2 linked regions of the Xenopus tropicalis genome follow. The protein of the gene in region 1 purifies or fractionates together with the protein of each later gene. This does not show direct contact. Links are inferred from orthologs where the notes say so. Each region holds a gene or a part of one and is shown in the gene's direction. Other genes may lie near its edges.

The links. The genes of interacting proteins can lie anywhere in the genome.
Region 2: the proteins of sclt1 (region 1) and kiz purify together in Homo sapiens (co-immunoprecipitation; 3 studies listed by BioGRID and IntAct, counting the BioPlex papers as one, with this or other methods). This does not show direct contact. The link is inferred for Xenopus tropicalis from reciprocal best matches to the Homo sapiens genes SCLT1 and KIZ.

The regions. Positions count from the first base shown.
Region 1 is NC_030677.2:64,010,753-64,016,045, forward strand, and holds part of sclt1 (sodium channel and clathrin linker 1), read left to right. Parts: coding exon 1-28; intron 29-599; coding exon 600-777; intron 778-902; coding exon 903-1,001; intron 1,002-5,261; coding exon 5,262-5,293. UniProt on the Homo sapiens protein: Adapter protein that links SCN10A to clathrin. Regulates SCN10A channel activity, possibly by promoting channel internalization.
Region 2 is NC_030681.2:36,357,107-36,362,399, reverse strand, and holds part of kiz (centrosomal protein kizuna), read left to right. Parts: intron 1-1,270; coding exon 1,271-1,426; intron 1,427-4,255; coding exon 4,256-4,394; intron 4,395-5,293. UniProt on the Homo sapiens protein: Centrosomal protein required for establishing a robust mitotic centrosome architecture that can endure the forces that converge on the centrosomes during spindle formation. Required for stabilizing the expanded pericentriolar material around the centriole.

The DNA.
Region 1 (5,293 bases):
AGTCTGCTTTCACACAGTTAGAAACCAGGTAAGAAATGAATTATAATCAACTTTCTTTCACCCATACTGCTCATAGATACAATGTATGAACAAATCTCAAAACTATATTGACATACTGCAATGTAACAGTGCCATATTTCTTTAGTATACTTGGGAAAGCAGAAGTGCAAATTGTACTGGGGCATTGTATGCTTACAAAGACTTTGGTTTGGTGTTTATGGCATGGAATCATAAAGAGAGAGTAGCCCTTGCTATATGCACATTATTTTCTTTAGGTTGCAAAAATACTATTTCCATAGTTTTAGTCAAAGAATCCTCTGAATTATAGACTCCAAGCAAATAAACTGGCAAGTATCAGGCAACAGTACTCAAATACAAGTGAAACGACAGATAACTACAATGACAAGGCAATCTTTTTTCTGTAGGAAGTGCAACTTGCTTCTGTAAGCCTAGTATACAGTAGATCAGGAAGATCAAGATAACCGCTAGCAATATAACTTATTATCTTAGAGATCTGTTTTATTGTAGTAAGAATAAATGCATGATTTGTATTGCTTTTGCTGTATAATACAATAAAGCATATATGCATTTTATTTAAGGCTAAAAGTAGCTGTCCAAGATGTAGAAAAATTTAAAGATGAACGAATTGCACTCGAAAAGCACATTGGGGAATTACAAGCAAAATGTGCAGAAGTTGAAGAAGAGAAATATGATGCTGTTTCCAGAGTCCGTGACAGTATGCAAATATTAGAAGAAGCTAACCTACAAAAGGACCAGGTATAGAAAATTATATATTATTATATATATTATATATGTAATATATACACATACACACATGATATTCTTTCTTTAGAATATTACACAGTGCATATGTGTATGAAGTTTCTATTTGATATTTGAAGGCTCTGCTAAGAGAAAAGCAAAAGGAAGAGGAGATTGAAAATATGAAAGAAGGCATGAATAAAATAATTCAAGAAGCTGCGGCAAGAACGCGGAAAGAGGTAAGACATTTCAAGGTTATCCTAATCCTTTTTGTATTTCATATTTCAATGTATTTTTACCAATTTATATAAATAAGGCAGCACTGAAACCATAATTATTGGATTAGCTGAATAATGAACCCTCCACAAAAGATTTGGACAAATAATAAACGGACATGTGATCCCTGTTTCACATAGAAAATTATAAACTGTAGAAAAATTAAGTAATCTGTAAGCAAAAATATCACATTTAGGTGTATAGATATACAATGTAAAAAGGCACATGACGTTGGTTAGAGGTTTGTAAAATGTCATTAGCATTGTACTATTTGTTTGTTCGGGGGCTCACAGTCCTTCCCACTACAGATAAAAAAAACTGATTTATATTTCAATTAGCGCTCTGGCTCACCCAGTTAAATAGTAGGTTCGGGTGCTTATGCCCCGAACCTTTCGCTTATCACTTTTTTCTCTCTTCGTTCTGGGGAATTTATGCTATTCTGTAAATTCAAAATGCAGGATGTTCACTCACTGCTTCCTTTTGGTGGCCTGGGTGCCATGCTCCAGACCTGCAGCATGGGGAGATTCAACTTCAATAGCCAGCACAAAACAGCATGCACTCGTCGGACTCCAGGACAGCGGATAAAAATTCAAAAAAGCTTTATTAAGGATAAAAACCTAATGTTTTTCGTGTGACTGCACACCTATTCATAGGTACCAATGAATACGTGTGCAGTCACAGGAAACATGTTAGGTTTTTATCCTTAATAAAGCTTTTTTGAATTTTTATCCGCTGTCTTGGAGTCCGACGAGTGCATGCTATTTTGTGCTGGCTATTGTCATAAGCATTAACCAACAATCCTTGCAACAAATGGGGCTTGACTAAGCAGAGAATCGTAGTTTACCAAAATGTTTCTGGCCAGAGTCTTAGAAAAATGTATAATTTGTCTACCCAATAACTCTATCTAAGGAACTTAATGTCACATCCTGTGCTAGCATGGGCTTAACATTCTGGGCAGGAATGTTTCAAATCTGTGCAGCCTGCAATCTGAAAAGGTTTTCAATAAAAAGGTAAAGGCAAGTAATGTATTTTTTAACATAGTTTCAAAGAAATGCTAAGGATTTGTTTAAATGGGTCATGGGGCTCAGACAGATGTTCGGTAACAGATCAGGCAAAGATCAGTCAATGGATACAGTGCTCTTCTGAACATGCAGTGCCCCCCATGTCATTTGATCAACAGCTCAGGGGCCAAATGATCAAGTCAGCAAAATTTGGTGCAGCACTTGGGAGTTAAAATCAGGCAATGGTCCACTTATTGGTGACTTCTTTCAAATAACTGATATGAATGATCAGTTATTTTAAAGATTACACACACAATATTTCCTTTTTAAAGACCACTGTAACCTAGGATCAACAAAAGCAATTAAGTCTTACATTGAACCTATGGTTTTACCTATTGTTTTTGTCAGATATTTTAATGTGTCATATCAGTCAGTCCAAAAACAATTCAGTCTATTTCCCCTTCAGTTTTGTACATCAGTGTCCCTCAAGAAGAAAAATCAAATATTCCTGAAGGGATTTTTGCTTCCGTTAATGTTGTTTTAAATCTGCTTGCAGGTATGCCTTACCTATTAAGTGCAATTTTATTGTTTCTTTGCCTAAGGCATGAATTGCACATTTTTTTCTATTTCTAGGACATAGGTAGAGTATAATAGGATGGAGCAGTTTGCACATTTTTGAGCGGAGCAAAGTATAAAGACAAATTTGGCTTCATATTCAATTTTGACAATCTAAAGAAACTGAGCTCTGTTATAAGAACAAAACAGCATACAGGCCACGCACAAATACCTATATGATAGCACTTAGAGGCATATTTGCTAAAACTCTTAACTTTTCTCATTTTCTTTTAGAAATTCAAATAAACTCATTTCCACTAATGTCTGACATTTACTTAACAGTCAGAAATGAAATAGTCTGTGTGGGAAAAGTCGCCTAAAAAAAAGCACAAAGCTGCAAAATGTTTGAAATTGTCACTCCAAAACCTCTACAGCGTCTAAAATCCAAAGCCTCTAAAGTTTTGTAGCAAAGAAGGATTCTCCAGGGAAGGGAGGGGACATCTGCCATTGATTTCTGCACAAAATTGGCAAGTTAGCCGACTAATTTTTACGGATTACGGATGACGGATTGCGATTTTTAGCCATTTTGTTGCATAGTAAATCTCAAAAAAGTTGCAATATTCTTGGTGCAACTGTTAGCTCTAAAAATCCAAATAAAGAAAAACAACTTAGTAAATGCCCCCCTAAATGTTCATAATCATACATTTCATTTTCAGAAAACAAGCCTTACAAATATCTTTAGTAATCAGGGAAATTACTGGAACAATAGAAAAACAAGAATGAATACATCCCCACAGTGTTACAACACTTATAATGATATAAGTGCACTATAAAAATGGTTGCATTGATTACCTGAGTTAGCTAGAACACTACTGAGCTGTATCTCTAGGGAGGAGAGAAACATGCACTTGAGTGAACTCCCCCTAGGGATTAATTAAGTATTAACTACATAACACAGGGAAGTAAAACTCTACCCCACTAGGATACCTCAGGCTTCTGCTATAAGAAGAGGCCTGTATTTATAGACTTAGTGCTTTTATGATAATCAGTTCTTTTTAATTTGTATAATAAAACTTTTTTTTTTTTAAACTATCATTATTCATAACCACCATTGCTATTTATGCTTAGTTCCAGCTTGCACAATATTTCTAAAAGCTTGCTTTAGATTATATTTAATTTTTTTTATTTTAAACCTAATTGTTTCACTGTTCCATTTGTGCTCAAGTGTACAACTAACAATGGTTCCTGGTTTTGGATATGCTGATTAATACAGTTTTAGGGGAAAATGGCTGAATGCCACATGCAAACCAATTCCTGTTCTCTTTATCATGATGGACTGTAGATGTGGCACCTAGCTATAAGACGTGTACATTATTTAGATACATATCTGTATATCACATACTGGATACTTGCAAATATACCTATAATACAAATACAAATAATTTTTTAAAGAAATAGTTCAATGTAAAAATGAAAATAGATAGACTGCACAAAAAAAATAAATGTTTTTAATATAGTTAGTTGGCCAAAAATGTAATCCATAAAGGCTGACATAATAGCCAACATAATATGTCTAACATAATAGCCAGAACAATACTTCCTCTTTGACAGCTCTCTAAGCTGTTAGCAGTCAGTAACCATTCAGTGACTTGAGGGGGGCCATATGGGACATAACTGTTCAGTTAATTTGCTTTTGAATCTGACTTGCGTGCTGACAAACTAACTGAATAATTTTGTCCCCTGTGGTCATGGACTAGCTAAAAGGTTAGAGAGCTGAAAGCAGGAAGTAGAGGTCTGGCCATTATGTTATCTGCTCACTCCAGCCTCTTTATAGATTACATTTTTGCCTAACTACCTATATTAGAAATATCTTTTTATTTTGCACAGTCTTTCTGTTTTACCCAGTTTCATTTTTACACTGAACTGTTCCTTTAATATCCCTGTGGCCAACTATGCATCCAGAACCGCTGGTTTAGTAGCACAGACAGAGCCTTCTAATTCAGAGCCATATATCCAAACATGCATGCAGCCTACTTTGATCTCTCTTGCTGTTCTCCAAGTCCTACCCCCTCTGAAGCATGTTCTAATATCTTGCACTGGATGAGATCAAAACAGGCAATTTGTAAGTTTGGATATGTGGCTCTGAATTATTAGGTTGTATCTGTGCTATTAAACCAGCTGTCTGGATTCATAGTTGGCCACAGGGACAATTCCATAATTAAGTGAGGGGTGAAGCCTATCATTTTTGGGTTTGCTCCTTACAGGCCATGTCACCATAAGTACATTTGAAGTACAAACATTAGGACCTCTGTGCATGTTTGATATTCAGGTTTTGACTTGAGTTTAATTTGCAGTAACAGGAAGCGGTGTGGAAGGCATGATACATTACAGGAGGCACTGCAACTGTTAACATGAACATAAAATTAAATCTGATATCTGAGAAAATGGCACATTATGCCTACTTGTCCTTACATTTGGAGGAAGCCTGCATGCCTCTGGCTTCTTAGTCAGTAAGAAATATGTTATCCTTATTCTTATATAGACCTTATCAATTTACATAAATCTACTGGACTATTTGTCCTTGAAAATATAAGCTTCCATGGTTGGCAGTTATCTCCATGTAATTTGTTTATTTATATTGGCTAATTGCTGCAGTTTTTTTTTCAGGTAGAGAATACAAGAAAACTGTTTAATGTGCA
Region 2 (5,293 bases), on another chromosome or scaffold:
ATATATAATGTATACTGTAAATACATCAACTATTTATAAAATTATTATGACTCTGGACTCTTCATGATGTGACACACATATGACAAATAATTTTAGGGCAGTGGTTTGTAGCTATAGCAGTGACTGCAGCACAATCATTATGCTTCTATTCGCACTTCTTGCAGCCTTCTATGCATATTTGTGATTGTAGGACAGGACAGCAAATTCACTTGCAAAAGTAGTAGTGTACTGCCTGATCAGTGTTAAAAATCGGTTCTTTAAAAGATTTACAGGTATGGGACCTGGGACGTTATCCAGAATGCTTGGGACCTGGGGTTTTCCGGATAAGGGGTCTTTCCGTAATTCAGATCTCCTACCTTAAATCTGCTAAAAAAAAAATGTATTAAATGGTAATTAAATCCAATGTTTTGGTTTGAATAGGGATAAATGATATCTTAGTTGGGATCAAGTACAAGATACTGTTTTATTACAGAGATTAAGCAAACCATTTTTAAAAATGTGAATTATTTGAATAAAATGGAGTCTATGGGAGATGGCCTTTCTGGATAACTGGTTTCTGGATAAGGGGTCTGAGGGGTACAGTGAAGGTTTTAATTATGCGTCACCAGTTACTTTTGTACATAATTTTTTTCAAGTTTATAAGAAAATATTTTGGAACCTGCCACGCTGTTTGCCTTGCTGAGTTAGAATTCATTATACATATGTGTTAAAAATAATAATTAATCACAAGCTCCCATGAGAAGTACCTTGAGCATCCCTTTGTTTCACTAATATTTTGCACTTGCTTAAATTATTAGGTGGTTCAATTTATCAGCAGTAAACCCCCTTTATAAGGGGCAATGAATAGGGCTTGAATAGGGCTTGCGATGAATATACACTTTCCTATTGTTCTAATTACAAACAAAATATGATTTTTGTTATTTCTTAAGTTAAACAGAGCAAACTGAATCTGTACCTACTCTGTGTTTGGTCCTTGGGTGGGAGATACCAGTTTACAAGTCCATTATGCAGGGGAATAATATAAACTATGATAATTTAATTATCCACATTGAACATGAAGTAGCTTCTGTTTCCACATTTGCCCTATTTAGTTTAAGAAATAACAAAAAAACATTAAAAAAACATAATTAAAACAACAGGCAAAATATATGTTCATCACAAGCCCTATTTATGAAACCATGTTGAAAAGGGAGTATATTGCCCCTTAAAGACCCTTTGCCTAGACACGTATAAGCTTCTTGGTGATGAATACCTTTAATATGTATTACAGTGTTTGCAACCAGATGAGAGAGTTGACGGTTAAAGATCTTGAGGCCTGCTGTGCACTTGTACTGTGCAAGGTCCAGGAACTGCTGAAGAGCACATTGGCTGGATACTTACATGAAGGAACTACTGACACTCACAGTACAGAAGCAAGTAAAGAGAGGTATCTTTACCCATTTTATTGCTGCTGCTGCATTGCAAGTAGAGAGCTATGGTCAGGCCCACAACCTTAATTTGGCAAAAGTTAATTTTGGTTAAAACTCATTGCACCTGATTCTATAGCTCTGTGCATTAGTGATAATTCATTTATTAACATGTTTTTGTTGGATCACTGCGCATCTTTCACGTTTCCATATTGATGATGCTGCCGAACCTTCATATATGGAATTGCATGAAGATTATATATCAATATAGTGGCTACTTGCCCACTGGTAAATAATGCCTAAACTGGTCAGCCAGGCAGCGGTAATTGTGGCTGTGGTAAAAGGCTCACTTGAGGCCTTGGCCAAACTACCCTATTGGGAAACAACTTTGCATTTAAAACACTACAACCCATATAGAGACAGTAGTAGAAAATTTCCAGAAAGCTCGAAAAATGGCACATGAAAACCACCTGGAATGGTCTAAAAGTACTCCCCTGTGGGAAAACAAGTTTCTTCCCCACTTTAGTCTGGTATCAGAAATCAGTACTTGACAGCTGGTGGGGTGAAAACATTAGCAGATTTAACTTTGAATGGGGACTGTAAGACGTTTCAGGATTTAAGGCTAGAATACCAGCTCCCCCCTAGAATTTTGTTTTGCTACCTGCAGTGGCAGCACATGTTCCGATCCCAGTTTTCACCGCTTCAACTTACAGAAACAGCCCTAGAACTTTATCCATACCTCCCAACATTTGAAAAATGAAAAGAGGGACAAAAAGAAATTTTTTGACCACGCCCACCTTTGTGGCCACGCCCCAATTAACACACCCCATTTTTTTCTAAAAATACTCCCAAGTATATAGTTTAAATAATGAGATCAGATGCAAATGTGCTATACCCTCATACTGTATTATCTAAGGAAAACAATATAGCAACTCCTACATATAAAAAGTGAGTTATAACTATGTACCAGATTTGCCCCCCATACACAGTGCCCCCAATGGCCCAATAGACAGTACCCCCCATACACAGTACCGCAATACACAGTGCCCTTCTTACACAGTGCCCCCCCATTCACAGTACCCTTCATACTCAGTGCCCTTCATACAAAGTGCCCCCCAATACACAGTACCCTTCATACACAGTGCCCTTCATACAAAGTGCCCCCCAATACACAGTACCCTTCATACAGCGCCCCCCAATACACAGTGCCCCCCAATACACAGTACCCTTCATACAGTGCCCCCCAATACACAGTACCCTTCATACAGCGCCCCCCAATACACAGTGCCCTTCATACACAGTACCAATACAGAGTGCCCCCCAATACACAGTGCCCCAATACACAGTGCCCCCAATACACAGTGCCCCCCAATACACAGTACCACCCATACACAGAGCCCCCCATACAGTGCCCTTCATACACAGTACCAATACACAGTGCCCCCAATACACTGTGCCCCCCAATACACAGTACCCTTCATACAGTGCCCCCCAATACACAGCGCCCCCCCAATACACAGTACCCTTCATACAGCGCCCCCCAATACACAGTGCCCTTCATACACAGGACCAATACACAGTGCCCCCAATACACAGTGCCCCCCAATACACAGTGCCCCCAATACACAGTGCCCCCAATACACAGAGCCCCCCCATACACAGTACCCTTCATACACAGAGCTCCCCCCAATACACAGAGCCCCCCATACACAGTACCCTTCATACACAGAGCTCCCCCAATACACAGAGCCCCCCCATACACAGTACCCTTCATACACAGAGCTCCCCCAATACACAGAGCCCCCCCCCCAATACACAGAGCTCCCCCCCAATACATGCTCCTACTGCTTCTTCGCTTCCTCTCCTTATGCGGCTCCATGTGCGGCGGTGCCAGACCCTTTTATAAGGTTGCGCCGCGTGACGTCAGTACGCACGGGGCGCAACCTTATAAAAGGGCCTGGCACCGCCGGAGAAGCCGCCACATAAGGAGAGAAGCCGCGCATGGAGTAGGAGCGCTCAGCTTCAGCAGGTGCATCCTGCTATCGCGGATCGTTCCATGAATGTTACAGAAATGCGGGACATTCATGGAACGATCCGGGACAGCGGGATGCACTATAAAAAGCGGGACTGTCCCGCCCAAAGCAGGACAGTTGGGGGGTATGCTTTATCTACATAGAGTAGACTTAACTCCATCAAAGTCCATTAAGTTCAACCCCTCCAACTGAACTCCAGTACACACAGTGAGAGCCGCACACACAGGGACTTTGCAAAAAGATAAAGTATTTATTGAAAAAGATCAGACGTTTTAAGCACTAACGGTGTCTGTTTTGTGAACAAACCAAAGAGCTACTGGCTAAGAAGCTGATGCACTACCCTATTGGCCATTTAAGTCTGTCATTGTCAACATGAATGAGGATACTGTTCAAGTTTGAGTCTAAATCTATAACTAAGCCTATGTCATTGTGGCTTTTTATTTTATTTATTAATGAAACTACAAACATTCCTTAAAACTAAAGACAAAGGTTAAGGTTATAACAGTTGGACTTCAGCTAAACTTCAGACTAGTAAAACAACTACACACTGGGCTGTATCCTTACAGAAGAGAAGTACTTAATTATGACTTTTATCTGTGAAAAGGATATTGTAACATATTGTATTACAATTTGAATTTATTAGGGGTCAAAGTGGGTACATTTTTGCCAAAAATGCTTTAGACTCCACAGTTCTGTTATATTGTTGAGCAAGCTTTTGTCCTTTTTTACCACCCTCTCCGCCTTCATAGCTGCCTAATCCAAAAACATACATTTTTTAGCTGTATTAACTAGATGTGTTCTATTTTTGTCGAACAGGTCAGTGTCAAGATTACTGCAGGAAAGACTGCTTGATCATGTTGCATTCCTAAATAAGCATCATGTTTTGAATGAAAATATTCTACCTGAATGTTTTACCTCCCTGATCATGTTAAATGATGGACAAAACAGTTGCCAGGTTAGAACTTTACTTAATAATGATTGTTGGTGTCAGTCTTCCATTTTACTTGAAGTAGGTTGTAAGCACCAGTAAACAACACCACTTCAGATTCCTGCTTTTTCTAGCTGCATCCATACCTTCCAGTGGTTATACACTTCACATTTTCATCATTTGGCTTTCACTGTCTGATACATTCTCTGTGGTGTGAGTTCTCTGTTCCCCTATGATACCTGTTCAGTGATTCACTCTGCCCCATTTTCCCATACCTTTCTGCATCTTTTATTGTTTCTCAATTTATGACAAGTATCCACTAATTTGATATGTTTTATCTGACCTCTTTGTTTATAGTTTAGCTTTGTAGATATTAGACTTTGTAATGATTTGTTCTCTAAATAAGAAACTGTTAATAATTATTTACATATATTATTGCTTTTTTTTGTTTAAATGCAGGTATGGGATCCATTATCTGGAAACCCATTATCCAGAAAGCTCAGAATTACAGGAAGGCCATCTCCCATAGACCCCATGTTAATCAAATAGTTCAGTTTTTTTAAAATGATTTCCTTTTTAACTGTAATAATAAAAAAGTACCTGTGCAGGTATCGGATCCCTTATTCGGAAACCCATTATCCAGAAAGTTCCGAATTACAGAAAGGCCATCTCCCATAGACTCCATTTTAATAAAAAAATTTACATTCTGTGATTATAAAACAGTACCTTGTACTTGATCCCAACTAAGATATAATGAATCCTTATTGGAGCCAAAACAATCCTAGTTGGTTTAATTACTGTTTAAATAATTTTTTTTAGCAAACATAAAGTAGGAGATCTAAATTACTGAAAGACCCCTTATCTGGAAAATCCCAGGTCCTGAGCATTCTGGATAATGGATCCCATACCTGTACTTGATCCTAGCT